4 linked regions of the Rhinolophus ferrumequinum genome follow. The protein of the gene in region 1 interacts with the protein of each later gene in a pairwise test. Links are inferred from orthologs where the notes say so. Each region holds a gene or a part of one and is shown in the gene's direction. Other genes may lie near its edges.

The links.
Region 2: the proteins of EF-hand domain-containing family member C2-like (region 1) and CLIC3 interact in binary tests that used the Homo sapiens proteins (3 or more experiments, as listed by UniProt). The two-hybrid records come from large-scale screens. The link is inferred for Rhinolophus ferrumequinum from reciprocal best matches to the Homo sapiens genes EFHC2 and CLIC3.
Region 3: the proteins of EF-hand domain-containing family member C2-like (region 1) and COPE interact in binary tests that used the Homo sapiens proteins (3 or more experiments, as listed by UniProt). The two-hybrid records come from large-scale screens. The link is inferred for Rhinolophus ferrumequinum from reciprocal best matches to the Homo sapiens genes EFHC2 and COPE.
Region 4: the proteins of EF-hand domain-containing family member C2-like (region 1) and CACNB4 interact in binary tests that used the Homo sapiens proteins (3 or more experiments, as listed by UniProt). The two-hybrid records come from large-scale screens. The link is inferred for Rhinolophus ferrumequinum from reciprocal best matches to the Homo sapiens genes EFHC2 and CACNB4.

Annotation. Positions count from the first base shown.
Region 1 is NC_046291.1:21,738,223-21,745,051, forward strand, and holds EF-hand domain-containing family member C2-like, read left to right. Parts: upstream 1-4,071; coding exon 4,072-6,321; downstream 6,322-6,829. UniProt on the Homo sapiens protein: Microtubule inner protein (MIP) part of the dynein-decorated doublet microtubules (DMTs) in cilia axoneme, which is required for motile cilia beating.
Region 2 is NC_046295.1:83,143,251-83,151,002, reverse strand, and holds CLIC3 (chloride intracellular channel protein 3), read left to right. Parts: upstream 1-4,740; 5' UTR 4,741-4,801; coding exon 4,802-4,837; intron 4,838-5,705; coding exon 5,706-5,815; intron 5,816-5,892; coding exon 5,893-6,018; intron 6,019-6,137; coding exon 6,138-6,244; intron 6,245-6,330; coding exon 6,331-6,506; intron 6,507-6,608; coding exon 6,609-6,767; 3' UTR 6,768-7,450; downstream 7,451-7,752. Other genes in the region: ABCA2 (ATP-binding cassette sub-family A member 2), read left to right, coding at 258-293; protein PAXX, read right to left, coding at 7,467-7,632, 7,734-7,752. UniProt on the Homo sapiens protein: In the soluble state, catalyzes glutaredoxin-like thiol disulfide exchange reactions with reduced glutathione as electron donor.
Region 3 is NC_046301.1:51,517,244-51,524,326, reverse strand, and holds the start of COPE (coatomer subunit epsilon), read left to right. Parts: upstream 1-4,068; 5' UTR 4,069-4,228; coding exon 4,229-4,354; intron 4,355-7,083. Other genes in the region: probable ATP-dependent RNA helicase DDX49, read right to left, coding at 720-860, 1,011-1,198, 1,516-1,637, 1,726-1,811, 2,764-2,887, 3,740-3,854. UniProt on the Homo sapiens protein: The coatomer is a cytosolic protein complex that binds to dilysine motifs and reversibly associates with Golgi non-clathrin-coated vesicles, which further mediate biosynthetic protein transport from the ER, via the Golgi up to the trans Golgi network.
Region 4 is NC_046291.1:68,432,283-68,440,207, forward strand, and holds the start of CACNB4 (voltage-dependent L-type calcium channel subunit beta-4), read left to right. Parts: upstream 1-4,906; 5' UTR 4,907-4,982; coding exon 4,983-5,042; intron 5,043-5,194; exon of another isoform or gene 5,195-5,323; coding exon of another isoform or gene 5,324-5,332; intron 5,333-5,562; coding exon 5,563-5,646; intron 5,647-7,925. UniProt on the Homo sapiens protein: The beta subunit of voltage-dependent calcium channels contributes to the function of the calcium channel by increasing peak calcium current, shifting the voltage dependencies of activation and inactivation, modulating G protein inhibition and controlling the alpha-1 subunit membrane targeting.

The DNA of each region.
Region 1 (6,829 bases):
GATATAACAGAATTTTAAGGTAAATTTGTTTACATATTTCATGTTATCACATACAGACAAAAGATTGTAGAAATCCTAAGCATACATCTCTATGAATTCCACCAATGAGGCACACTATCTAATCACCTCCCAAATCAAAAAAACATATAAGCACCCCAAAGTCTCTCTCACTTGCACCCTGTCAAAGTCCTCTCTTCCCCTCAAAGTAACCATAACCTGACTTTAACACCAAAGGTTAACTGGGTATTTTGAACTTCGTATAAATGGACTCATAAACAATGTGTTTTTTATTTCTAACTTTATTCACTCAACAGTATGTTTTCGAGATTCAGTACTATTATTTCAATGTTTCCTTGCTGTGTAGCATCAATTGTATGAATAAACCTTAATTTATTTATCAACTGCTATTGTTGAACATGTAGTGGTCACTGTTTGGTGGCTGTTATGGATAGTAGAGCAATGGACATTTTGTACATGCCTTTTGGTGCACACATGTAGCATTTCTGCTGGGTTTATATATCAGAGCGGATTTATTGAGTCATAGCTATTCATATGTTCAGCTTTAGTTTAGAAAATCATTTTTCTGAAGAGTTTTCTGAAGCTGTTTTACAAATTTATACTTCTACCAGCAGTGTATGAAAATTTCAGTTCTTCTTATTCTATATAACCAATCGTTGGTCCCTTGGTGGTGGTGGTGGTGGTGGTTGTGTGTGTGTGTGTGTGTGTGTGTGTGAGGGGGATGTTTATTTAATATCCACCATCTTTTAGATGTTTAGTGGTAGCTCATTATGGTTTTAAAATGGATTTTTCCAATTATTAATGAAATTAAGAACTCTATACTTGTTGGCCATTATTATATATTCTTTTACACAGTATATAAAATATATGTAAATGAATGTGTGTATCTTGATATAAAATGGAATTTATAAAAAGAGGAATAAATAGATAAAGCCAAGCAAGATGAAAATAAGAATAATAAAACCCAATTCAAAGCAGTAAATTTGGTACATTTATTACTTATGTTATCGAAGACTACTCAGTTTTAAAAGATGAGCTGAACATTTGGATTAAGATTCCTATCAGCAAAGACAGAGGAGAGATGTAAAATAAATTATTCATTTCATGTCTTTTCCTAGTATCATATCCTATGAAAAACTTATTCCATGGATTTTCATAAAGATGATACTCTAAACAACATTCTCAACATTCTTGAAATAAATAAAACAGCGAGTTCATTTAACTAATTATCTTAGTATCTTTCCATGCAAGTGCAGAACCATCATTTGCATTAGGTGTCTGGTGTACATAGCTATATCGATCTCTATACAGTCATATAGAGATGAGCATATGGGCTTATTGAAACATGAAGATGATATTCCTAAATATCATATTATTATAAATACCAATTATCAATTTTACAATAATGTCCATGAAGTACAACTATTCAAGATAATTTAGTCTGCACTTCTAATTTTATTCTAAAACTGAACTGTACACGACTGTAGCCACTAGCTTAATTTAGGTAAAATTAAATTAAAAATTAATTTTCTTAGTTACACTAGACAGTGCAAGTGCTCAATAGCCACAGATGGGTTTTGGTTACTATACTGGGCAGAACAAATACAAAATATTTTCATTACTGCAGAGTGATTAAAACTATTCTAAAGCTTTAAAAATATAATTCCCTATAACTTACGAAAATTCTGCATTAATTGGAATATTGAATTTATAACAGCCTATTATCTTTTGGGACTAGATAAAATTTATCATGTACCTAACTGTAAGAATTAAATATTAAAGGCCAATGGGACTGAAAGATTGTTCTTGGATCAGAATACTTCAATTCTAGTCTTAGCCCAGTCTTTACATGGGCTCCATGATTTAAGGAAAATCCTCGGTGTCTTTAGTCTTACCTTTTGTACAACAAGTAGGTTCACCTGTAAACTCCAAAAGAAACCTGAATTTTCTGATTTTTTAAAGTCATAATCTCACATCTAAGTTAATGACGGCATGAAGATCATTTAGGGGAGTCTGATGCATTCAGTCGAAAAAAACCCTAAAGTTATAAACAGGGTTCATCAAATTAAAAATAGAACATAGGCATTCTTAGCATGAAAGAGGGATTCTTCAGATAAAAACAACACTGTTGAAATATTATAAGTTGTTTCTTTCAGATGTTACATTTTTACCCATTTAAAAATGTCCAATGAATATATTAAAAACATAAAATAGTTAATTTTGACATAAATCCATACTTTAAACTGAAGGTGACCACAACTCTTCATTTCAACAACAAAAAAATTAATATTTTCTCTCTAGATTCAATTATCTTCATTTTAAAGATATTACTTCTGAATAAGAAAATAACGGAGACAATGTTTTTTGGTATATCTCAGATCTTAATTGAACTGAGGCTTTTCGATGATGTCAATTATTTTTTGCTGACTTACTGACAACATTGCTCTATAAATGATATGGAAACAAAAGCTACTTACTACTGAATTTAAATCATTCCGTCATATTCAGGTTCTCTTTTTTATCTTTGTTTTAAAATTTCAGCTTTCCTGAGATGTAATTGACATACACATTTGTAAGATATTTAAAGGGTACATCATGGTGATTTGATATGTAAGTGTACTGTAAAAAGATTCCCCTCATCTAATTCACACATCTGTCACTTTATCTATTGATTATCTATCTATCTGTCTATCTATCTATCTATCTATCTATCTATCTATCTATCTATCTATCTATCTATCTTATGTGTGTGTGTGAGAGAGAACATTTAAATTCTACTCTCTTAGCAAATTTCAATTATATAACACATTTCTCATGAACTATAGTTATTGTGCTCTATATCAGATCCTCAGACCTTTTCATCTCATAGATGAAAGTATGTGCTTTTACCAACCTCTCAAGTAAACCTGACTATGACTCATAAAATGTAAGTACACTTGTCACACTTTTTACAGTTGTGGAAATTGAGGCACAGAAATGTTAAAGCAACTTGTTGAAAGCCATACTGCTTGTATTAGTCTGCTCAGGGTACTATAACAAAATACCATAGATGGAGTGGTTTAAGCAACAGAAATTTATTTTCTCACAGTTCTGAATATTAGAAGGCCAAGGCCAAGGTACCAGCATCGATGGTTTCTGATGAGAGCTCCCTTCCATCATGCAGCAGACGTACACCTTCTCCTTTTTTTTGTCCTACCTGGGTGGATGGGTGGGGGATGTTGGAGAGAGAGAGAGAAAGAGAGAGAGAAAGAGAGAGAGAGAGAGAGAATGTACTAGCGCTCTGGTGTCTCTTCTAATAAGAATACGAATCCTATAGGATCAGCCCTCCCCCACCCCATGACCACATTTAATTACTTTCTTGATCATCTTAGAGCCCTATGTCCAAATACAGTCACATCGCAGGTTAGGACCTCAACATATGAATTTGGGGGAGACACAGTTCAGTCCATAGCACCACTATTAACTGACAAAATTTAAACCCAAGTGGTTATAATATTAGCGTGTACTCTCTGAACCTCGATTGTATCTCTGAAAGTAGAAGAGCAAAAAATGCCTACTGTACAATGTTGGGGAAATGTTATGATACCATTTTCTCTACGGTAGCAGAACAAACACAAGATACATTGAAATTTTGGGGAATATCTATGCAGAGTTGCCATTTTTATAATGATTTTGTAATTTAATTTCCTTTGATATCAAAGGAAATATATACACTGCGATGAAAAATGTAATATGTGTTTAAAAATGGTTATGATTAATGTCTTACTATGTAGCCTGTATTGCTGCTAAATATGGAGGATATTTCATATGCCGAAAGTTCAGTTACACAGAGGACCGCTAAGTGGGACATTTCAAGTGTCTACGACATCAACTTTATTTCCATAGAGAGGATTCTGAATCGTCAAAGAAATTATGGGGTCACTCTTCTGTGACGCCACCTCCTGTATCTAGGAAACGCGTTGAGAGTGGGGGCTTCAACATTGCGGTCGCAAAGCAGCTGCTACCTGCGGGCCCCTTTCCTCCAGGATCCTTGACTCTTGGAAGCTCAGAACCATGGCCCTGCCACTCCTGCCCGGCTACAGCTTCAGCCGCAACGTGGGAAAGACGAAGTTCCACAAATCTCAACACTGGGGCTTTTGCAACAATGTTAGCATGCTGGTGGGTGAAAGTAAACCTGGAATAGGCGGAGAACCGCTTCTCGGCCAAAAGATGAAGCACAAATACAGTGTATTTACTAAAGAAGTGGGAAGTGACGCACCGGCCTGGGTAGCTTTTGACAAACAGGTATTATCTTTCGATGCCTATGTAGAAGATAAAGTGCGTGATACAAGTCAAGAAAACTATGGCATCAGATACTATAAAATCCTCTTCTATCTCGAAGATGACACAATTCAGGTAAACGAACCAGAGGTGAGAAACAGCGGAATGCCTCAAGGGACTTTCATCAGGCGTCATCGGATTTCTCTCCCACCTCCGGAGGATGCTCAGTTTTATACGGTCCATCATTTCAATGTCAACATAGACATTGTCTTTTATGGCCGAACATTCAAGATTTACGACTGTGATGCATTCACAAAAAACTTTTTGAAGAAAATAGGAGTCAAATTAAACCCCCCAGGACAGTGTCCGGAAGATCCTTCCATGAAGATATGGAGAAAGAAGCTAGACTGCGTAAAGCGCTTACAGCCCCAGGAATCCTCCGACACCCTGAAACAGTTCCTCCAGTATGACAGGAAGGTATTGCGTTTCTTCTGCCTGTGGGATGATTCCGCCTCATTATTTGGGGACCGTAGAGAACTCGTCTTGCACTACTTTCTGTCTGATGATACTATTGAAATCATAGAATTGCTAGCACACAACTCAGGCCGGGATGCTCTGCCATTTTTCCTCCAGAGGAGAAAGCTGCCCAAGTATGGCCCCCCTGGACTCTATCAACCAGGCGAGGTAACAAATCAGGTTGTTCTCAATGTGTATGGTGGCTTGGCAGTGAAACAAGTGAATGGCTACGTGTTGGATAAATACAAGCTGGGAAAATCAGAGCAAGAGTTTTACAAAGATAGTGACCTGTCCTTAGGAACCACCATCAATGTGTGGGGAAGGAAAGTGGTCCTTTGTGACTGTGATGAATTCACGAAGACTTATTATAAGAATAAATATGGAATTGAGAACTTTACGCCGATTTCATTCAAGGCTCCACTTCTTCCAAAAATAGAAAGGAAATTTCCACCTTATACGGGCTTTGGTTCTGAAGAGGATTCTCTGTGCTCTTGTATAGGCCTCGTGCCCAAACCTTGTCTTCATCTGAGGAATGTCGGGAAATTCATGGAAAAAGATAGCTATGGCAACACAAGCGGTATACTCCGTTTCTTAGCAAAACTTATCACAAAACCATGTGCCAATGAGGGCAGACTGTTTATTATATCTTATTTTCTCAGTGATGACACAATTTCAGTGTTTGAACCCACAGAGAGGAATTCCGTTTTTAATTTCCGGAAGTTCTTGAAAAGAATGCGTGTTGAGAAGCCTGGACAAGAAGTCTTCAAAAGTGAACTATCAGAATATATCAAAGCCGAGGATCTGTATATTGGAGCCAAAGTGAATGTGAATGGCCACCTGTTTGTTGTGTTCAGTGCTGATGAGTACACCTTAAAATTCATGGAGGAGAATTCAGACAAGTTTCCTTTGAGCAACCTTGAACTTGTTCTAGAAAAGCTGAAAGAAAAAATATCAAAATCCGGAGACGTCAGGCAGGTGTTTAGGGCTGCTGACTCTGGGCTCACGAAGAAGATGGATTGTAATACATTCAGAGACATAGTGATGACCATAGCTGCTGGGAACCTCACAGAACAAGAATTTGTAACCATTGCACGTCACTACAGGGTGCCTGATGACCCTTGTCCAGATGTGAATGTCCTAATTGCAATGGCCCATGAACAGCTCAAGAAAAATTCTTTTGAGAACTTTGAAAGACTCATTTGTAGCTCTGTATACCAAGATCGAGAGAGAAAAAAAGTATTACCCAGCAAAGACATCAAAAGGCTATGCAAGTCCTTCAGGTTGCCTTTGAGTAATGATCTTTTAGAATCCTTACTGTCCAAGTTTGAAAACAGTGATGAACAAATCAATTATGAGTCATTTTTCTGTGCCCTGAACTGGAGAATAAATATAATGCCCACACAGATAGCAAAATCACCCTTGAAAGAGAGAGATGATGTGTTGGTCGGGATGCCATCACCTATTTCTATGAAATACATTGACTATTTAAAATTTTTAAAGGACATATATGGCTTAGAAGAGGAGTAAAATGCCAGTTTTGCCCAACTCCCTTTGATTTCCTGCTCTAATTTTGCCAAGTTTATTTCTGTAGATACAATTTCATTAAAAACAGAAGAGAAGCACGGTTCATACTGAATTGAAATCCATAGACTACAATCAATCTCCTTGTGTCATTTTAGTTTTCCAGAACATGATATTGTGTTGCTGATGTACCAGCACTATTAAAAATGTCATTTAAAGGAACATCAAACATTTTTATTATATGTATGATTTATTAATAACAAAGAATCTTATGGTAATTTTGTAATCAACATAATTTAATTTATATAATACAAGAATAAAATGACTTTTGACATCTATATACGAAAATATAAAATCAAATTATATCAGATCAGTAAGTTGGCATTCTATTAAACATTTTTTGAAAAAGAAAAAAAAAGAAAAAGAAATTGTAGGGTCAGTAAGTCTCCAATATAGCATGGAGGTTATCAAAGTTGAGAAAAATAGAATGATCTAAAATTTTCTTATATGTTCT
Region 2 (7,752 bases), on another chromosome or scaffold:
GATGCTCAGGGATAGAGTGGACGTGGGAATCACAGGCACAGGCAGAGGACACACACCTACTGCGACCCTTCAGCACCTGGAAGTTGGAGGGGCCTCGGAGATAGGTAGAGCAGAGGTGGACAGGGGACAGAAGAGCTGTAGATGCAGTGGTCCCCAGACTGGGAGATGGAGGTGGGAGACACCATGTCCAGTCCTGGGGTGGGGGAGTGCTGGGTGCCACATGCCTCCCTGAGCCTGGCCTGCCTGCTGTCTACCAGGCCCAGCTCTCCTTCAACACGGACACGCTCTGCTGACCGCCAGGAGCTGGCTCAACAACACGGCTGAGGGACAGAAGTCAGGCAGTGGCCCAGGCCCCACCTGTTTCCCCAGTGCCATCTGCGGGGCCCTGGAGTGGGAGGTCCAGGACCAAGGGCTCCAGCCCCTCCAGCCCCCAACCCGTCCTCAGCCCTGCCCGTGGCCACTGTGCCACCCTCCCCTCATTGTGCCAAAGGCTGGCCTGGCCCTGGGCTATGACACCCTCACCCTGCTCTGCCTTAAAGCCTTGGGGCGAGAGCCCCTCGCCTCTGCCCCTGCCCAGCTCTGCCCACCACCCACAGGGCCACTGGGGTGACACGGGATTTTAGGTACCACTCGCCCCTCTCCTGGCCGGGCCTGGGCCTGGCTTCCGGAACCGGCTTTTCTCTTACATCCAATTTGGAAGTTGGTATCGCATGCCTGGGGCTGAGTGTGGGTGTGTTAGGTCCCACCTGCAGGCACCTATTTGTTTTGCTATAGGAAGAGGCTTCCTTAGCCTGGTTTCATGCTGGGAGCTCATCACTGAGGGGCTGCCACAGGGCAGCAGGCTGGGTAGCAGGAGTGGAGAAGCCGGCCACGCTGGCCAGGCCAAGGTCCAGACCCCTCCCCACCCCCTTCAGCTGCCACTGCTCTCCCACCCAACTTGGCACCCTGCCTGCCCGCCCATCCAGGAGCCGTACCTGTACATAACGCACAGATGTTTGTTTTAAATAAATAAACAAAAAGTCCACGTAGGCCTGCGTGTGTGGGGTAGAGTGTTGGGATGCAGATGGCCCCTGCCCTGCAGGCTTGCCTGCAGTTTCCTGGAGTCGTGGGCTCAGCATGGGAGCAGGGCAGTGGGGTCAGCCTGGAGGAGGGGTGGGCTTCTCATGCCTCTAATGCCCTGTTGCTGCAGGTGGGGAGACTGAGGGAGGGGCCATCCGTCACTCCCTCTGCACCTCCCAGCCTGGACTCCCTGTGCTCAGGGCACCAATGGACAATTGGGTTTTCATGGTGAGGGCCTGGGGGCAGGTCCTGAGTGGGCTTTGCTGTGTCAGTGTTGTCCTATGTGCTCTGCTGCTTTCTCCAGGGGCCTGGTGCCCATGCAGGGCCAGTGGGTGGTGTGTGCGGGGCTGTCTGCATCTCATCTAGGCCGTGGGAGGGCTTCTTGGAGGAGGTGATCTCTAGGTTGAGACCCAAGTCCAGGCAAGACTGCGTACAAAGTTTGGAGGAGCGGTGAAGGCTCCCAGGGCCTGGGGGTTCCATGGTGATGGAGCCTGGAGACAGGGTGGTCAGAAGGAAGGGTCCCAGAGCCCAGCCCCCTGAGCTTGGCCATAGTCAGTCGCCCACCTTAGACCACTTCAAGGGGACTGGAAGGGACACAGAACACCCCTGAGGAAGTTGGAGGGTCATATGGCCAGCTTACACCCCAAACGTTTTTACCTCGGTGGGGGCTGCAAAATGGCGATTTTCTACTCTATTTTCCCCCTGCATTTATTAGCTGTCATTTTCTCTCACAACAATCTCCTCTGCTTTTAGAAATAGTCATTGTTGACTCATGGGTTTCAAAAAACCTGTTCTCATTCATTATTGTCATCTTTCAATTTTTTTTTATTGTGGTAAAATACACAAAATACCGGGGATGCCAAAAAAATGTGTACAAGTGAACACTTTGGTCAATGTTGCTCAAGCAGTTGTTCGCCGTCATCAGAAGTGTCTGGACGCTGATGGGAACCACTTTGAGGACCTCTTGTAATTGCAGAAGTCAAACGTGACTTGTATTCATCTTTTGTTATCGGTATATATTCAGTATTACAATTTTAATACAGTTTTTCTTAAAATATGCATACATTTTTTGGCACCCTCTGTAATTATTGTTTCAAACATTTGTGAATGTATAGCTCTAGTATCACTCTTACACTCAGATGGCCCCAGATTTGGCCAGTGGCAGCCCCTCGACAGTGGCTTCTGTGTCCCTTTGCCTAGTCCCAGACGTGTTTTAGGGCAGTCTCTTACTTTGTGGTACAATTCCCAGGCCAGCTTGGAACTGCCACCCATGTCTGGATCCAGCCTTTCTCCAGGGCGGTGGGTGTGCTCACTGCGTCTCGGCCCCCTGGCGGCAGAGCTAGGAAGCACCTGCACACGTTCCTGGGGAGACCCCTGTGCTACCCCACTGTCTCCTTTGAGCACAGAGCCTTTAAGATGGTGCTGGGAAGGGCCCACAGAGGGGGCTCAGGACTGGAGTTTCTAACATCGGTGAGGCCCCCCATCTGTCACTTCAGAGACACCTCCAGGGCTGCGCCGTGGATGTGGCAGGAGAGCATAGAGACATCCATGGCCTGGGTAGGTCGTTGGACCAATCACGGCTGGTGACCATGAGTTTCTGGTCTTACTTTTTAAAAACAATTGACGATGGCAAGTTGGCAGAAGATGCAAACGGTGCTGATGGAGAGGAGGTGCTAGCCAGATGTCCACGCCTCAGGTCATCCTACAGGAGGTGCCTTCCGTCCGTTCCCACGTGTCCAAGCAATGACTCGGAGTGACACATACTGATGCTTCCCGTTTTTTCCATCGACCGGGTGTTTTTCTCCCACCTGTATTTGTCTGCTAGGTGTGCCATGACAAATGACCACAAAGTGGGTAGCATAAAATAACAGACATTTCCTCTCAGTCTGGAGGCTGGGGGACCACCTGCCCCAGCTCTGTCCTATCTCACAGTGGTATCTGGCCATCTCTGGTGTCCCTTGGCTTGGAGAAGCACCACCCCGATCTCTGCCCCCATGTACACACAGTGTTTTCCCCGTGTGCATGTCTGTCCAAATCTCCTGTTTGTGAGGGTAGTCATGACCTCGTTTTAACCTAATCACGTATTTAAAGACCCCATCTCCAAATACAGCCATATTCTGAGGTGCTGGGGGGCTAGGATTTCAACATGTGAACTGGGGAGCACAATTCAGCCCATAACACCACTAAACCTCAAACCAGTGAGACACACAGGACTGTCCCATACCCAGCACACACCTGTTTATATATCCCTCGCATATTTACAAGGGTATCTCTGGGCTAATTCCCAGATGGGTGACTCATCTTGGCGGCTGCTGACACTTGGGTACCCTACATCCTTGCCACAAATATGACCACCACATGTCTTCCCGTTGCAACCATGAACTTTTTCTGGTTTGTTTCTTGCAAACCAGTGAGGTGAAACCCACTCACGCATTTGGCTGGCGTTTATTTCCTTTACTCTGAACCACCTGTTCACTGTCTAGTTCACCGTTTTTCTTACAGATACATAAGGGTATTTTTATACACATAGAAACTCACGCAGGACATCTGGCGAGCATGCACGTGGAGGGGCCTTCTCCAAGACGCAGTTTGTGTGCAGGCAAAGCAGGAAAAGGGCCCCTAAAATCTGGCTTGTGGAATAGAGGTGGGCAGAAGGGAGGTCCAAGCCCCAGAGGGGAGCCGGGCACCAAACTCCACAGTACATCAGTATATCCAAGCCAACCGCCAGGCTCTCGGAGTGGCCTGTGCCCAGGAGCCCTGACCTCGGTGGAGTCCGGGAAGGAGAGGTCAGGCTGAGGTTCCAGCAGAGGCCCCAACCTTGGGCGAGGAGGCAAAAGCGCCGGGCTGATCCCGCTCTCGGCCACTTGGTGGCGCTAAGCCTCTGTGGGTTCCTCCCTTGGGGTGCCCCCAAGGGTGGACTGCGGGAGGTGCGGTGGGCCACCCTACGGGGGCTAGCAGGTGCACACCTGTGGGGTCGCAGGCTCCCCGACCTCCCCTGGCCTTCCAGCTGAGGGCGGGGTGGGCGGATCCTGTGGGTCAAGAGGCAGTGGCTCCAAATCCCCTCCTGGTTCTTCCTCTTAAAGGTTAAGAGGGGAAATAAAGCTGCCCTGAGCCCTCGTGGGAGGGACAGGGCTGAGGGGTCAGCTGGGCAGACGCTGGAGCCAGGCTTGTTGCCCAAGGGCAGGTCTGGAATGTGGGCCCCGCCCTGGGGTAGGGGAGCGTTGCCTGACAGAGCTCTGTTGGTGGGAGGGGACACCCCTTCTAAGTGGGCTTATCACTCTTGTAATGCCCTGGTAGGCAGATAGAGAAACTGAGGCTGGAGCCAAGCTGTTCATTTCTTCTATCCACTCCCCAGCTTTCTGGACTGGGGAGCCCTACGGATAATGGGGTGTTCACTGCAGGGAGGGCAGTGGGGTTCATGGTGGGGTGATCTGATGCGGAGCTGCCGCTCCCAGGCCCCTCTCTTCTTGCCTCCTAGTCCACTGGTCTTGGCCTCCATCTCACCGTGCCACACCCCCCATGGGGTGCTCAGGTCCCCTGCCTCAGGCAGCCAGCCCGGCCCACTCAGTTCCCCCCATAGTCACACCCTCATGCTGGGACAGTGAGCGCCACCAGCCTCGTCAGCCTGCCTACCCGCCCCTTAGGTGACTCTCGGGGCGGGCCCTGGGCGGGGGAGGGCGGGAACCCAGGGAGCCTTAAAGAGCTCCCCAGGTCTCCGCCCTTGCCACTGCAGCTCCCCACCATGGCCGAGACCGCCAAGCTCCAGCTGTTTGTCAAGGTGCCGGGGATCAGGCTGGGCTGGGGAAGGCCTTGGGGAGGGGTGCTCTGCGGGGCTCCACTTTCCAGGGTGGGCTGAGGCGTGGGTCTCCACAGCAGTCTCTGCACCCCTTCCCATGATGGGTGGGCTCAGGCAGCCCTATGGAGGCTGAGTAAAGTGGGGTTAACCTGGGGGTGAAGGGTCAATGAGTCGTCTCCAAAGGGGTTGGGGGTGGCCCTGTCCCAACTCCCAGCCTGGGCTCCTGGACCCAGTCCATCAATCCTGGAGCAAAAGCCCCCCTCCAGGGGGAGGTGACAACCAGGCGGCCAGTGGCAGATGCCCAAGTAGAGCTTGGGGGCGACACGGGAGGTGGGGTGTGTGTGGCTGGCCCAGGCAGCTCCATTGGTGCCAGATCTGTGGAGCCCAGTGTAGGGACTGCCAGCCCTTGGACCCTTCCCCACCCTCAGGGCTTGGGGCAGCTAGTGTGCTGCCAGCCTCAGTGCCCAGTCAGCCTCAGTGCCCAGTTTGCGTGTGAATCACTCAGAAAACAGCTCACTCGGCCCATCCCACCCTTGAGACCAGCCTGTGTGGCCTGGAGCCCAGGGCCCTGGCCTCTGCCCAGGGTCTGAAGATAAGGCTCAAGGGGCCAGGCCCCCGGCCCTCACCCAGCCTCCAGGCTTCCAGCAGCTCTGTGCCCCTCCCCATGTACTAGAGACCAAGTCAAGGGCTCTCACCGGCCACTTGCTGAGGCCATGCCTGACCTAGCCGGAGCCCTGGCATCGCTCCAGTCTCTTGGCAGTGGCAGACCCGGTCCCACCCAGCCTGGTGGCAGGATTCCTGGGTCTGCTCCCTGCCCTGACCTGACACCCCTCAACTCCACCCACCGTAGGCAAGTGAGGACTGTGAGAGCGTGGGACACTGCCCTTCCTGTCAGAGGCTCTTCATGATCCTGCTACTCAAGGGTGTGCCCTTCACGCTCACCACGGTGGATATGCGCAGGTGAGCCCGCGCCTGAGGGACCCCTCAGGGTCCTCTGTCCCCTCAGGCTAGCCACTTCCCCTCCCTCGTGCCCACAGGTCCCCAGATGTACTGAAGGACTTCGCCCCCGGCTCACAACTGCCCATCTTGCTGTATGATGGCGACGCCAAAACCGACACGCTGCAGATCGAGGAGTTTCTGGAGGAGACGCTGGGGCCGCCAGAGTGAGGGCCGGGCACGGCAGGAGAGGCCCCCAGGGAGGACCCCCCCAGGACAGAGCCCAGGAAGGGAGCTATGGTGCCTGCGGCGCGAGGGTCTGACACGAGTTCCTTCTCCACCCCAGATTCCCCAGCCTGGCGCCCCGCTACAGGGAGTCCACGACCGCGGGCAACGACGTCTTTCACAAGTTCTCCGCGTTCATCAAGAACCCAGTGCCCGAGCAAGATGATGGTGAGGAGGGTTGGTAGCCGCGGTGACGATGGGGGCAGTTGTGTCCCAGACTGGGTGTTCACCGAAGCCCCCTGCCCCCGCCCCAGCCCTGTACCAGCTGCTGCTGCGCGCCCTCGTCAGGCTGGACAGATATCTGCGCGCGCCCCTGGAGCACGAGCTGGCTCGGGAGCCGCAGCTGCGCGAGTCGCGCCGCCGCTTCCTGGATGGTGACCAGCTCACGCTGGCCGACTGCGGCCTGCTGCCCAAGCTGCACATCGTGGATGTGAGCGCGGGCCGGGTGCCGGAGGGTGCGGGGGTGTGTGTGGGGGGGTACGGGGCGCGCCCTCGAGGAGGCCCTGACCCCGCCCACGCCCCTTGTCCGCAGACCGTGTGCGCGCACTTCCGCCAGGCGCCCATCCCCGCGGAGCTGCGCGGCGTCCGCCGCTACCTGGACAGCGCGCTGCAGGAGAAGGAGTTCAAGTACACTTGTCCGCACAGTTCCGAGATCCTGGCGGCCTACCGGCCCGCCGTCCAACCCCGTTAGTGACCCCGCCTCTGCCATCCCCGCTCATTCGTCTGCAGCGCCATAAAGCCCTGTGCTCCAGTGAGCGTGTCCGCACATCCCAGGGACCAGAGGGCCCACGATTTTTGCCACCCTCAAACCCCGACCGTGGGACGCTCAGTTTCAGATGACAGCCCAGAATGACAGAGGCAGAGAGCCCGTTGGGCGGGGCGAGCCCATCCCCCCCACTCAACAGGGACAGCGGGGACTGGATTGGGCTCCCAAACCAGTCAGTCCAGGGCAGGGAGGCAGGATGGCCAAGGAGGGTGGGGAGCAGAGCCCTGCCTGGGCACCTCGGGGCTCCCGGCCAGTGGGCGGGGTGGCCCGCATTCCTCAGCCTTGCCCCCAGGGGGCAGACCACTCCCCCATCTCCCGCAGGACCTACTGGGTGGGGTCTGGAAGAGTGAGGTGTGTGCCCCGTGGGGTGGAACAGAGTTCCAGCCTTGGGAAACCCTGGCAGGGCCCTGAACGGCCCTCAGTTCCTGGGCTGGCCAGGCAGGAGCAGGTGGGCAGTCGGGGGAGCTTGGCAGCTCCTCCCCCAGGGAGCAAGCGCCTCATCCATCCGATTATGTCCTGTGGTCCCATGTCCAGATCGTAGGCTGAGGGGAATCCCTGATCCCTCTCCCCCAGCCATCCCCCAGGAGCCAGAACCAGGCTATGACGTCTGCCTGAGGAAGCCATTTATTTGATGGGGAGGGAGCTCAAGGTTTGTTGCCGCTGGACGGCAGGACAGGCAGGTGGACGTTGTGAGGTCTCAGGGGCTGCTCCTCGCCTCGTTCCAGCTCCCAGCAGGATCATTTTTTGCTGCACGTCAGAGATCATCAAAATCCACACCGCTGGCTGGCTTCTTACTGGGAAAGAAGAGGGGGACATCATGGAGGTGTGGAAGGAGGGACAGGGTCCAGGGCTGGACCCTGGGCACAGGAGGGCGGGGCAGTGGGTGGGCACCTCTTGAAGCCAGGGTTGA
Region 3 (7,083 bases), on another chromosome or scaffold:
TGGCAGGAAGGACACACTCTCAGTCCCTCCAGCACCAGGATCCTGGAAAAGCACTCTTGCCCCCGCCCCTGCCCGGGACCCATGCAGGTGGCCCTGCACAGCTGGGAAAGAACAAGCAGAGGTGCAGGGTGTCCTGTCCACTGCCGTCCTCTCTCTGATTCCTCCCCTGGCCTAAGCAAACAAGAGTTAGCCCTACATCCAGGGCCCATCTGTGTTGGTAGCCAATACATTCTTAGGGGGCAGTGCCCATCTACATTCTTGGTGTGGCGTCCCCATCTACTGGTTCATGCTAGAACAGTCTACAGCTTCTTGAAATCTCCCTCTATGCTTCAGAGGACTGTCAAGTCCCCTGGGACCACGGGGAGGACGACCCCAGGTGGGGGTGCCACTGCACTGGGCCTCAGTGACAACCCTAGACAACAGTGGATAGGCTGTTCCAAGGGTAGTGACAGCTCAAGGCCACAAGCCCTTCAGGTTAAGGCGGGTCTGAGGAACCCGAAATCCTGGTGCCACCTTTAGGAGGGGTAACCTTGGTGAGCTGCTTGATCTCTGTGAGCATTCTTGAGCAAATCCTCCAAAACCTCTGGTCTGAGCACAGGCCCTGGAGTGCTGCATGCCTCCCACCCATGACCTCAGGCCACATCTTAGGCTTCTGTGAAGGGTTATGGGGGAGCCAACCCTCGCTCGGGGGGCAAATGGGGGGGCCCACCCTCACTCACTTGCACGTGTTAGTGAAGATGATGATGGACCAGTCCTCGTGCTCATCCTGGAAGTTCTGGATCAGGTGGACCAGGTAGGCGTCCTTGACCTTCTCAGGCACCAGCAAGTAGCGCTGGTCCAGCTGTTCTACAGTGCGTACTCTGGGGACGGGCAGGCCTGTTTCCCCTTCTGATGAATTTGGCTAATCCCCTGCCCCACCCATGGGCAATAACTTCCACTGGGTGTGACGCCCCCCCCGCCCCCCCCTCCTGCTGCCTGCCTTCCCCCACCAAAGGTGGCTGTAGACTCACGGGGCCTGAGCCTCCCAGAAGAAGGGCTGGTTGGTGGCCAGGCCCTGCAGCTCCTTGAGTGTGTCGGTAAGAGTGGCACTGAAGAGCAGTGTCTGCCTGCGGGCCGGCACGGCTGCCAGGATGGCCTCCAGATCCACTGTAAAGTCAGTGCAGCCCTGCTCCAGCAGGCGGTCAGCCTCATCCATCACCTGCAGCACCGGCAGCCGGGGGATGGGGAGGAGGGCGCTGTCCAAGGCTGGCCTGCTTCCCCCGTGGGCCTCCTTCCCAGCCTTGGCCGTGGGCCTGGGAGCACTCTCCCTCAGTGTTTTGCAGGCCCTGCTCCCTCACCTGTCTCAGCTCCAATGCCGCCTCCTCAGAGACGCCCTGCTTCCAACCACTCTCGCTAGTACAGGTCACCTCTTATGGGTCTCTGACCCTGTCTCTGTTATGTTCCTAACATGCTACTACGACGGCCTGTGGGACATATGTTCCCCAAATGGATGAATCAGTGGCCAGGGCAATTTACCAGGAAGCGGATCTTCTTGATACTGAAGGTGTTAGAGCTGCGGAGGTGGTCAGCCAGGCGCCCCGGCGTGGCGATGACCACGTGTGGTTTCCGGGACAGCTCCAGGGCCTGGGCCACCATGTCTGCAGGTAGATGGCAAGAGGTGGGGCTGGGCGGGTGGTCCGAGGCTGCGGGGACCCCACACTCAGAGCCTCCCTGGGGCCCGCGTACCCATGCCGCCAACGATGATGCAGTCCTTCAGGCCCAGAGGCTTCCCCAGGACTCGGAACTGCTCTGCGATCTGGTAGGCCAGCTCCCTGTGGGTGTGAAGGAGCCGGGCTGGGTCAGACGGGTTCCGCGCCTGCCTCACATTTCCACCTCCACCGCCGCGGCCTCCTGACTCGCCGGCTCCTGTTCATACACCCTGCACAGCTCCCGGTCCGCTTTAGACAAAATCTCTGACACTGAGCACTGGAGGGCTGTGTGGGCTCTGCTCCCTCACCAGACTGGGTCCCAGAACAGCCCACGGCCCCACCCCCACCAGTCCCACCCAAACTGGCTTCTCCTCCTCCCATGTCCTCAGCAATGGCCTTGACACCAGTTACCAAAGCCTGAACCCCGAGCATTAGTGCCCCCTTCCCTGGGGCCAGTCAGTGTCCAAGTCCCTCCTCGGCCCATGTCCCCACTTCCCAGCCTCCTGTCTTACTCTCTCCTGCTCACACTCCCTCAGAATCAATTCTAACCTGGCATTCAAGGCCCTTCTCAAGCTGGCTCTAACGTGCCCAGCCCCAGTACCCCTTCTGTTCTCTGCCACTCACACCTCTGCATATGAATGCACCAGCAGACCTCTGCCTAGATTACCTTTCCCCAAACTTGTCCCTTTAGGATGAGACGCTTCTCATCCTTTAAGCACCCATGACTGAAGCGTTCCTTGACCACACCCGTTCCCAGACCACAGCCTTATAGAATGCCATTAGAGAGGACCTACGTCAATCACCGAGTCTATCCGCCCAGGATCCGAAGATATGCCTGGTTTTTGAGCTATAAGACTATTGACAGCTCCTGTATTGCCTCTTGCCCTGAGTCAAGCCCTGTGCTCAGCATTTTCACATGCTACCTTGTTTAATTCTGTAGCACACCTAAGAGGAGGCATGATTTCTGTCCCCATTTTGCACACAGGGAAAGTGCAGCTCAGAGAGGTAAAGGCATTTGCCCAAGATAACACAGCTGGTTAACTCACCCAGGAGGCCTGTGGGGGGTGGGGCTCACCTGGTGGGTGTCAGGACAAGGCAGAAGATGCCATAGGGATCCTCAGACAGCTTCTGTAAGATGGGCAGCACAAATGCTGCCGTCTTGCCACTGCCGGTCTTGGCACAACCCAGGCAGTCCCGACCTGGGCAGAGGGCAAGCGACATCAACACAGTTTAGGTATATACGATGTTCCATTGAGCACAGTTTACAACAGCTAACATTTAATGAGCAGTTAACTGTGTGCCGGGTACTCCCATTCCGGGCATACTAACAACTTCCCATTGTGGGCAACTGATAAATTCTGGGAGAAAGAGGCCATTATCATTTCCATTTCATAGAAGGTGGAACTGAGACTCAGAGATTTGCCCAGGAACATAGTTGATGAGTAGCAGGCTGGATTAGAACCCACATCCATCTGACCCAAGATGCTACCAACCACCACTTAATGTTGACAACCCTGCCCCCAGCATGAACTTGGGGGAATCTGGGGGAATTCCCCCAGTCTGCATCTCATGCTCCCTGTGGATTCTTTCACCTTTGTTTAATCCCTCAACTTGCTACATCCTAGGCTTTGTGAGGACATCTCTGCAATGGCAAAACTGGGTTGGGCCAGATGAGTGAGAACAGAAGTCACAGGACCAGAGTCCTGGATCTACCAGTAATCTTGACAACTTCACTTTGCATTTGTAAAATGAAGACAGTAGTACAAATTACTCAACTTTACCAGTATTATCGGTTAGTCATTCACCAACACCGCCCCCCCCCCACACCCGAACTCTTGAGACTATGAGAGTTCAGAGGCTACATAACTTGGCGGGGATACACAGCGAGTCAGTTGCGCAACCTAAACGCTAAAACCGCCTAGTGTGCCTCAACCCAGGATCCCCGAAACGCCCGAGGCTGCCCCTCGCCTCGCAGGACCAGCGTGGGTTAAAGGGAAGGGAGGCGACAGGAGCGGGCACGCCTCCCGGGGAGGAGACCGGGCCACACTCACCTTCCAGGATGGCGGGGATGCAGCCGAGTTGCACGGGCGTGGGCTGCTTCAAACCTAGCTGCCGACATTGTTCCACGAGCCACGAAGACAGTCCAAGCTCCGCAAACCCAGCCATCCTCGCCGCCGGCCGCAGAACCCGTGTGAGCCGCGCTTCCGGCGCGTGCCGATGACGTCACTAAACTCTCCCGTTGATTGGACCCGCCTCCAGCGTGGTCTCACCCTCGTTAGCTTTCTCTTCCATTTCCAGCCTCGATCTTTTTCTTACCGTTTCGGTGAATCCCAGTGGCCCGCAGGATCGAATCAAACTACAATTCCCGAAATGCTCTGCAAGACGCACTTGCGTCTTCCGCCCCTTTACTCCCGTTTCGGAGACTTCCATTAGCTCATCTCCAGGCCAAGTAAACTACATTTCCCAGTGTGTCCCGCGGGGGCGCCCTGCTTCCGGCCGACGTGTCCCTCAGGAAGAGGAGTGAGTGAGACCACAGTGACATGGCGCCTCCGGCCCCGGGCCCGACCCCTGGCGGCTCAGGGGATGTGGACGAGCTGTTCGACGTGAAGAACGCCTTCTACATCGGCAGCTACCAGCAGTGCATCAACGAGGCGCAGCGGGTGAAGGTGCGGCCGCTTCGGGTTGCGGGACGCTGGGGGCGGAGGACGCTTCCTGATGGCCGCGGGTAGCGCTCTGATTTTGAAAACTCTCTTCCCCTCGCGGCGTACCCCACTCCCCCACTCATATCTTCAGAAGCAGTGAGGAGTTAATCCTTGTTCCGTGACAACACCCAAAGAAGTAGCAGTTTATACTTCTCAGAGTGCTCGCTCTGCGCGCTGGCAGGCATTTGAATAAGAGGCATTTATGCCACCACTTTGGTAATAATAATGGTAATAATTCTCACTTGTTGAGCGCCCACATTGTGCCGCTATACCTTCAATTCCCGTTAAGTAGGGACTGTTTATCCTCATTTTACAGATGAGAATACCGACGCTCAAGATAAATGGTTTCCCCGACGTTACCTTGCCCCACTAGCCGGATCGTTTCTCCCCAAACTCGCACATTCATTCATTCATTCATCTGTATGAGTCAGCGTATTGGTGCTGGGTTCAAAGCTGTGATAAAATAGACAACTCCCAGCTCTCTTGCGGGAATCTCAGCCTTGCCAGGGAGACAGACATTAAGCAAGTACATAAATGAGTAAATAAACAAGTCGGGAGGTGGTGTGATGGAGCATGGTGGGAATGAGCTTGGCTGTTTGAGAACTAGAAAATAAACACGCCAGCGAGGAGCCGGTGACTGGAGAGGGGGCAGCAGGAGCCATTAGCAGGACCTTTGAGGAAGGGACGTGGCTGTTACTGTCACTTTGAGAATGAACCATTGGAGAATTTTTAAGAGCAGTGAACATGGCAGGGTGTTTACCTGCCTTCACCGCCTAGTGTTCCAAAGAGAATAAATGAGTAAAGAAGTGAGTGAATATGTAATTACAACTTGAACTTGAGCACTGTGTGTGGGCGTGGGGAGATAAAAAGTGCTGAGTTGGAAATTGGGAGGGAGGGGTTGCTGCTTCACATGGGAGTGGTCTCATCAAGCCTCTCTGACTCATTTGAACTTGACACTGAACCTTGAGAAGCATCTAACCCCATAAGTTGCTGCAAAGGTGCTGAGACAAGTATGAGCTCAGGGTAGTCAAGGCATAAGAGGCCTGTGTAACAGAAGTGGGGAGGTGGTGAAACGGGGGACTGAGAATGAGGTGGGCAGGGCCTTGGGGGAACAGCAGGGCTTTGGAGGCCATCAGAGCACCAAGCAAGGGAGTGACATGTCTTCATAGAGGCAGCCAGAAGGTTGGGAGGAATGTAGACTCTGCAGTAAAGAAGGCTTGCTCTCCATGCTTCTGGCCTTCGGAGCATCATTGTATAATATAGACAACCTCAAACAGATTTCAGGAAGCTGTTAGGATTTGTTGAGATAACATTTGCACGATTGTATTAATTTTTCTGTTGCTGCATTAACAACTTTATCACAAGCAGGTTAAGACAACACAAATTTATTGTCTCACGGTTCCTATAGGTCAGAAGTCCAACATGGTTCTCAGCAGGCTAAAATCAAGGGGTCAGCTGGGCTGTGTCTTTTCTGGAGGTTCTGGGAAAGAATCTGCTTCCAAACTCGTTCAGATTTTGGGCTCTCCACCTTGTGCCACGCTTCGCTCCTAGAGGCTTCTCTTCAGTTCTCAACCTCGCATGTGGCCCCCTCATCTCAGAACTAGGCACGGGGTTCTCATACTTGGAGTCTCGAGTTTCCCTTCTGCCTAGTTTCTGTTTTAAGGCCTTCTGCGATTGGACTGGACCCGGCCAGATAACCAGCACATTCTCCCCATTTTAGCGTTCATAACCTTGATCACATCAGCAGAGTCCCTCTTGTGATGTAATGTGAGCTATTTACAGGTCCCAAGGACTGGCGTGGATCTCTCTGGGGAGCCTTATTTGGCCCACCACCAGAATTGTGTGTGCTTCCTTGCTGGGATAGTATAGGCTGTGAGAAAATTGAGATGGACCTGGGTTCAGATTCCGGCTTTCCTGTGTTCTCTCTGAAACCAGGTCTGAGTCATCATTGTATCTCTCTGAGTCTCAGTTTCCCCTCCATCAAATGGGAACAATGACATCTATCAGTAGGGTCACTGTGAAATTCAGCATTGCGCTCACGTTCTACCCTTTGTCTTCTGCTATGTGTCTGTTCTGCTTACATCATAATATGCAGACTACATTGCTGCTGAAAGAACCAGCATGATCTTTTGTACAAAGAGAGTGACTGAAAACCATACCAGCAGTCACTCTGTCTGGAGGCACACGCAACCGACACTCTGGCAACGTGATAAAGATGTGCTAGCACCAGACCAAGATATCCCTGAGGCATCCAGAGAATGCGAGCACTGTTCATCTGATGTGATTTAATTCTGATCCGTAGGACACCTAAACCTCTTGGGCAGTCTGTACTATCTTGAATGCTGTCCCTGAAAAGATGTCCACCCAGAACTTGTCAATGTGACTTATTTGCAAAAAGGGTCTTTGCAGATGTAATTCCGTGAAGGATCTCTAAATGAGATCAGCCTGGATTTAAGGCCCTAAATCCAATGACTGGTGTCCTTCTAAGAGAAAGACAGAGAGAGGTTTGAGGCAGACAGAGAAGATGGAGGCAGAGGTTAGAATGATACAGTCATAAACCAAGGAATGCCTGGGGCCACCAGAAGCTGGAAGAGACAAAGAAGTATCCTCCCCTGGAGCCTTTGGAGCCAGTGTGGCCCTGGTGACACCTTGATCACAGACTTTTGGCCTCCAGGACTGTGAGACAATAAAGT
Region 4 (7,925 bases), about 47 Mb from region 1:
ATCAGATTTGTGTCTTGCAAATATTTTCTCCCAGTCTGTGACTTGTCTTTTCATTCCCTTAACAGAGTTTTTCACAGAGCAGAAGTTTTTAATTTTAATAAAGCTCAACATACCAATTTTTACTTTCTTAGATCATGCTTTTGGTGGTGGTATTTATCTAAAACCTAATCACCAAACCCAAAGTGCTGTCGATTTCCTCCTCTGTTTTCTTCTAGAAGTTTTATACTTTTGTATTTTACACTAGGCTCTATAATCCATTTTGAGTTAATTTTGATAAGGTCTGAAGAGTTTTTTAAAAAATAACAGCTTTATTGAGATAATTCGTATACCATACAATTCATCCATTTGAAGCGTACAATTCAGTGATTTGACTACGTTCACAGGTATGTGCAACCATCACTACAATTAATTTTAGAACATTTTCTTCACCTCAAAAAGAAGCCCTCTACCTTTAGCAAGCACCTCAATACCCCAGCCTCCCCACCAATAAGCAACCACTAATCTATTTTCAGTCTCTACAGATTTCCCTATTCTGGGCATTTCATGTAAATGGAGTCATTTCATAAAACGGAATCAAAGGTCACAATGTATGACCTTTGTGATTAATTTCTTTCACTTAGCATATTTTCAAGGCTCATCCAAGTTGTAGCATGTATCAATCAGTACCTCATTCCTTTTTAATGCAGAAGGACATTCCATTGTAGAGATATACCACATTTTATTTATCCGTTCATCAGTTGATGGACATTTGGGTTGCTTCCACTTTGGGCTACTATAAATATTGCTATGAGCATTCTTGTACAGGTTTTTGCATGGACATATGCTTTCATTTACCTTGGCTATATACCTAGGAGTGAAATTGCTGGGTCATATTGTAACTCTATGTTTAACTTTTTTGAGGAAATGCCACAATGTTCTCCACAGTGGCTGCGCCGTTTAAAAATCCCATCAGCAGTGTATCACAGTTCCAATTTCTCTGTATCCTTACCAACACTTGCTATTATCTGACTTTTTGATTATTGCTATTCAGGTTGGTGTAATGTGGCATCTCATTGTGGTTTTGATTTGCATTCCTTTGACAACTGATGATATCAACCATCTTTTTCATGTGCTTATTGGCCATTTGTGTATTTTTTGGACAAATGTTTATTCATATTCTTTGCCCAATTTTAAAATTGCGTTGCCTTTTTATGACTGAGTTGCAAGATTTCTTTATATATATTGTAGCTAGGAGTCCCTTATCAGATACATACTTGGCAAATATTTTCTCTCATTCTGCAGGTTGTGTTTTTACTTTCTTGATAGTGCCATTTGAAGTACAAAAGTTTTAAAATTTTGACGAAGTCCATTTTGTTTATTTTTCCTTTCGTTGCTTGTGCTTTTGGTGTCATATCTAAGAATTCATTGCCAATCTGTCATCATGAAGATTTACCCTAGGTTTTCTTCTAATAGTTTTACCGTTTTAGCTCATGCATTTAGGTTTTTGGCCCATTTTGAGTTAATTTTTGTATGTGGTATGAGGTAAGGGTCCAAGTTGATTCTTTGAGTTTCTGTGCTGGGGGGACAGTGGTGCCCCTCTCTGAGTGACACCCCCAGTTTCGGAGCAGAGTGCTTGACAGGAAGGGACAGCAGTCCCAGGTCTCCTGGCGTGCCTCTCTAGGAGCAGTCGTGACCCCCGTATTCTCAGGGGTGCTGTGCCCACAGTACAGCCTCCATCTCACAAGTGGGGGCTGGGCTAAGGAATGGAGCCTCCACCTCTCTGCTGTATTTGATGGCACCTAACCTTCAGTAATGGGGACCTGGGGGCAAAATGAGAAATGCTGATTAGGGTTTCCGGGTGGGAATTCCCACCCGTTCCAATGAATGTTTTTTGCTTTCCCATTCCCGAAATCTGAGAAAAGTTGGTCGGGAAATTGGGAAAATTGGTTCCTTGAACCCAGGTGGTTGGTAGTATCAGCCATCACTTTGTGGAAACGATTCATCGTGGAGAACAGAAAACAGTTTATATTTACACAGAGAAATAATTATTTTCACAACCCAGGATTTGACAAAAATGTCATATCAAGGTAAACTGCCTTAGATTTCTTTAGTTCACCTGAAGATGACTTTGTAGTCAAATCCTGGGTTGTGAAAATAAATATTTTTCTGTGTAAATACAAACTGTTGTCTGTTCCCCATGATCAAATAAATGTGCTCGATTTACAAGCGCTAAAACTAGCTGGTCATTTGATATCTGATGCTGTTGTCAAGTGTGCATGTCTGGTGGCATGTAACATTGTAACACAATGTAACTTTAGATAGCGATAAATAGGAAAAATGTATAGGAGATACATTGTGACTAGTATGTTTATTTCCCATTGTGGGTATTACTGGGTTCAAGGAACCGATTTTCCTGATTTCCCGACCAACTTTTCTCAGGATTCGGAAACGGGAAAGCGAAAAAAATTCCTGAGAATGGGCGGGAATTCCCACCCGGAAACCCTAATGCTGATGTCCTGTTCCTCCCAGGAAGATAACCCTCATACTGGGAGCTGAGGAGAGATGGAGCCCCATGTTCAAGTCTGCACCAGTGTGGAGTGGAATTCCCCTCTTGCTGAGCTGACTCTGGAAGCAAGGAATGAGGAAGCAGGTCTTGTTTCAAATATCACAGACTCACTTTTCTTACTGAACTTTAGTGAATTTCCTTGAATAAATGCTTATTCCTTTGCTATGTTACCCGTAGGACCACTTTCAGAGATTTAAATGATTTTAAAAATAATAATTTTCACCAGTTTTGCTGTGGGGTAGGTGCAGAGAGGTCCTCACTGTCATACTGCTATAGATTCTTTTTGAGAATTCAAAGTCAGTGAGACTATGGGCAGTGGAAAACCAGAAAACTCAAATTTCGATGCCTACATAATAATCCATTCTCTATATATTAGGAGTCAACTATGAAAATGGCTCAGAACTAAAAATGGATTGATTTAATGGTAACCAAAGCAGGGAGTTCTGCATTGGCAGACACACCATTACCCACACACGTTATAGAGTATCTACTTACATATGTAAGGTAGAAGAATAGAAGATAAAAAGCTGAAAATCTATTTCAGAAACTAGGAGATTTTCACAAAAAGAGCATTAATAAACCAAGGCAGCCTAGACTAAATGCCTAGAGAATAAATGCTCCAGTTTTTCAGGAACACGAGAAATGATCCAGGACTGGAGTGGTCAGGAAGGATTTCTGTGGAAGAAGAGTGAGCTCAGCCAGATTTGGAGGACAAGTAGGATTCAGCTGTGTGTGTATGTGTGTGTGTGTGTGTGTGCGCGCGCGCGTGCATGTGTGTTGGGGGAGGGCGCATTCCAAGGCAGAGGTGCTGAAGTGGGATTGTATTTGGTATACTGAAGCAATAATGTGCACACCTACCTGCTTGCTGAAAGGTCTGTATGGAGAGATCAAGTTGGAGAAATGAGGTGGTGACCAGAAAAGCAGGGTAGAGGAGCGCTTTCTTGTTGGGCCATGAAGTTTGATCCCTATCTCGTGGGCTGCTGAGAGCAATGAGTGCTTTTTAGAGAAGGGTGCCTTGGGCAGAGATTGTAGGAAAATGGCTTTGCCTTAAGTGTGTAGATGGAATGAAAAGTGTGTGTGTGTGTGTGCGTGTGAGAGAGAGAGAGAGAGTGTGTGTGTGTGTGCGCGAGCGCGCGCGCGTGCATGTGTTTGCAGTAAGTAGCCTGGCTGCAAGGAGACTAGTTATTAGACTATTAAAAAGAAATGAAGTCTGGATAAAGTGAAGGGAGAAGGAATGGAAATAAGTATCTTGTGAATGGTAAGATATAATCAGGACTTCAATAAGGCAAACCAATTTATAAAACAAACATGGCAGTTTCTATATATATAAAAAAAGAAATCCTAGAATGCAAGGTGATTTGGGCTGATTTAGCGATTTAAGATACTATGCATATTTTAAAGATGGATTTCTCATGCAGTAACTATACTTGAACGGGGTCTTTTTATTTTCCAATTCGCATGTATTTTTCTTCCCTCTTCTTATTTCTTCAAATTCCTCCTCTCCACAATTCGCTTGATCTCAAATTAATCTCTTGTATGTATTTGGAGGAGGAAACCCAGGCTTGCAACAACGGCAAAGCTTGTATGTGGTTTCTTGGATGACTCTCCTCCCTTGAAAACAGCTATCCGCGCAGAAATGGGAAGCACGTGGCCAACTCTTGCTTTTTAGCAGGTCTAACATGACCTTCAAAACTCCTTAGGACAAGCTACTCTCCTGGGGGGCAGTATCTCCGGGCAGACTCAGGTTGGCAGGGTCTCCGAAGCTGCCCGGGTGTCTATGGCTCCCAGTTCTGAGAAGAGAGTTGGCAAAACAATATAAAAACACGGACAATAAACAAACCACAAAACCCCATCCCCTACCACAGTGGGCTGATAAGTGAAGTCGCAGAAGGAAGGTACGGCTCTTGCCCTTTTAAAATTCCAGTGCAGCAAACACACACACACACACACACACACACACACACACACACCGGTCGGTTCTTCCCACTCCTTGCCACATGGCACCAGCGTCCCTGCCCAAGTCCTGATTCATGAACCGTGCCACCTTTGTCTCATTTTAAACTGTGCAGACTATTTTAATCCTCCCACCCCCACCACAGATTTCCCCCTCCCTTCATCCTCTGGAAAGCTCTGATGTAAGGCGCTCGCTAGGTGGGAGAGCGCTCTCCTCATCGCTCGGGTGGGCGACATCCCGAGAAGTCCCACCGCCGGAACTTCCCCTGCGGGGGCCGCTGCCGGGACCCCGCTGCGGGCGCGGGGGCAGCGCGTCTGTCCCTTTAAGGTGTCGCGCTCCCAGAAGTGCGGGCCGGGAGCTGGGAGCTGGCGCGGTCCTGCAGCGGGTGGGGAAGTCCTGCCCCCCCGCCCCCCGCTTCCGAGCCTCCGGGGGCCCGTCGGCCCTCCGCCCATCGCGCTCGGGCTGGCCATGCAGCTGTGAGCCATGTCCTCCTCCTACGCCAGGAACGGAGCCGCCGACGGGCCGCCCTCGCCCACCGCGCAGGTACCGCCCCCTCCGCCCCCCCCCCCCCGGCCTCCGCTGCCCGGCAGGGCCCCGCCTTCGTGCGGGGCGCGCGGGCCCCCCAGTCCTGGGAGTGAGCGGCCTCTCTCTCCCACCCTCCTCCGCGGCCCTTCCTCCTCCCGCTCCTCCTCTTTCTCGTCCTCCTCCCCTCCTTCTCCTCCTCCCCTTCACCTGGTCGGTTCTCTGCGCTCCCGCTCCGGAGCCCGCAGCCTGCCCCAGCGGATGCCGGGGACTCGGACCCCGCGCCCTGAGAGTCTTTGTTAATGGATGTGGTGGGTGCTCGCCGGCCGCACCTCTCGGGCATCTTTTCAGCGGTGCAGGCGTGGAATGGGTGGGTGGGTGGGGGTGGGGGCTGGATCTGGGGACCACGGAGGACACTTGGGTGCGGGCTCCGGGGGACCCCGGGGCGCTGGTCCAGGGGCGGACTCTAGCCTGGGGTGGTCGCCCGACTCCACGCTGCGGTCCTTACCCGCTTCTCTCTGGCCCCGTGTGTCGAGTCCAGGTGGCCCGAGGCACCACGACCCGAAGGAGCAGGTTGAAAAGATCCGATGGCAGTACCACTTCGACCAGCTTCATCCTCAGACAGGTAGGAGGCAGGTGCGGGGCGGAGGCGGGGCAGCAGGTTGGGCCTGAGGCCGAGCGCCTGGTGCAGGGGTCCGAGGGCGGAGCGCAGACCCCACATGCGGGAGCAGTGCGTGGCGTCTCCACGCGCGGCTTTCCCGCGCCTGGCAGGATCTCCGGCTGCGTCCTTCCCTCTCTGCCCCTTGCTCGCGAAGTCTTCGGGTCCAGGCGTCTCTGCACCGCCCTAGGAAGTTAGTTTGTGCGTGTGGAGGCAAGTCGGCAGGGACTGGGTTTCGGGCAGGGCCATTTAATTAGAGACTGGAATATTTCTGGTTGCATCTTCGTGCGTGGGGAGACGTCTTTAAGTAGTGTAACTTGACTTTGAGTAACCAAAGCCCCTGTGGCCGGGCACCTGGTTTGATTCGGCTGAAAGTGAGGGTTATTTTCTGTTTAGCCCCATTTTGAATACTGTTTTCTGTCTAGGGCTTGGGAGAGATGTCCGAGTTCTGGTCAAAAGAAAGAAAAGACACTGAACAGAAAGTTTGGCCCCACTTTGGGACCGCTTCTTCGGGTCTCTTAATTAGGGAAAGAGTGCCGGATCTGGTTAAATTGAAATAAGGGAAGGCCGGCACTAAGTCCCCCGGGGTCCGGGTGGTATTACACTTACTGTTTGTTTCTTAGTGGTGGTTTTCTTCTGCGTGGTTCTCATGTGTGTTGTGTGTGGTAGAGAGAGCAGGTTACGCTGAATGCTGAAGTGCCTTTCATCTTGACCCAGGAAATTGGTCTTTAGTTTTCATCCTGTCCATGCTGCTGGGTGCCAGAGAGATCATGGAAAAGTGAGTCACCTTGATCCCTTTATTTTGGAATAGAAACTGTCCAGGTGTGTGCCTTTGGGTGACCTAGGAGGACTGCTCATCGCACCAAAACGCTTTTATTTCAGGCTCCATTATGGCCTGCTGGAGTGACCTTGGGAAGTTCTTTTCCCTCTAAGACATTCAGAGCGTTGGGAATGTATTTTTAACCTATGATGGCAGCTTTGCAATGGTTCTTTAGAGATTATCTCACCACTTTAAACCGGGTATCCATGACGAATGGGCATTCGACTCAAAATTGGACTCACACCTCTCCTAAAGGGTCCATAGAGCATATTTAGATAATATTTATTATGTAGATACTCATACTCCACAGAAACAAATTATTACTATTTCTCTTTAATTCAGTGAGCACTAGGCATGTGCATTATTAAAATACATTTAGGATTCTGAATTCATTCTAAAAGTGCATTCCGTCCCCTTTGTGCTTCGGTTATTTATGTATTTGATACAGCAAAGACATCCTCCATCTTTAAAAAAATTTTGAGTTATATGACTGTTTGAGATCTTGTTCTTGTTTATTTAGTAGGTGCCTATTTTGGGTAGTGTTTTATTGTTACCAAACTCGTAGAAATACTAATTATACAGCAGTGTATTCCATGAATGGCTTGACTAAAACTTGTGAGTTCATGTACACCATCACTTCACTAATGCTTCATTTTTTCCCAAGCACAAAACAAAACAATCAATATTCTTTCTAATGTTCTTTCCCCAATTTGCTCCAATAAATGATTGAGATAATACATGTATAGGTTCTTGTTGAGTGTGCTATGTATTGCCTTAAAAATGTAAAAAATATTGCATGCTAAATAATTTTAGGAGTAATTTAAACCAACGCAGATTTTTAGAATAAATATATTTCATAAGTCTTTCTGAAACTGGGATTTGGTAGTTTAATAAAATGGTCTAATTTACATTCAGGAGTTAGTTGTAATTGTATCGTATACACAATCTTCCAATTTTTTTCTGCAAAAAATACATAATTTTTGTGAGCATTTAGAGTTCAGTAAGTATCCTACACATAATCTCCTTTAAATGGCATAATGCGGAGTTCTGTAATGGCTACAATAAAAATGAGGATTGTTATTTCTTTGAGAAGAGATGAAAAATGACTGCAAATAAAATTTAACAGTGTATTTTTTGAAATAAAATGGAACAGTTTTCACCCAAATGCCAAAAAAACAATTGTTTTTTAGAACCACAAAAGTTTGTTATCATAGTCTCATTATTTGTTAAATGACCAGTAATTTATTGTTTTTGAGTTCTTGATACATTAGAGTGATGGACTTCCTTAGATATTTCCCAGTCTGTGTGATGCTTTTGCACATGAAGAAGATAATGGGGACTACTGATAAAACTAGTGCTGTTCATTTCTTTGTCATATTCTTTACAAATATACAGAAAGAAAGCTTTCACTAAAAAAAAATAATTG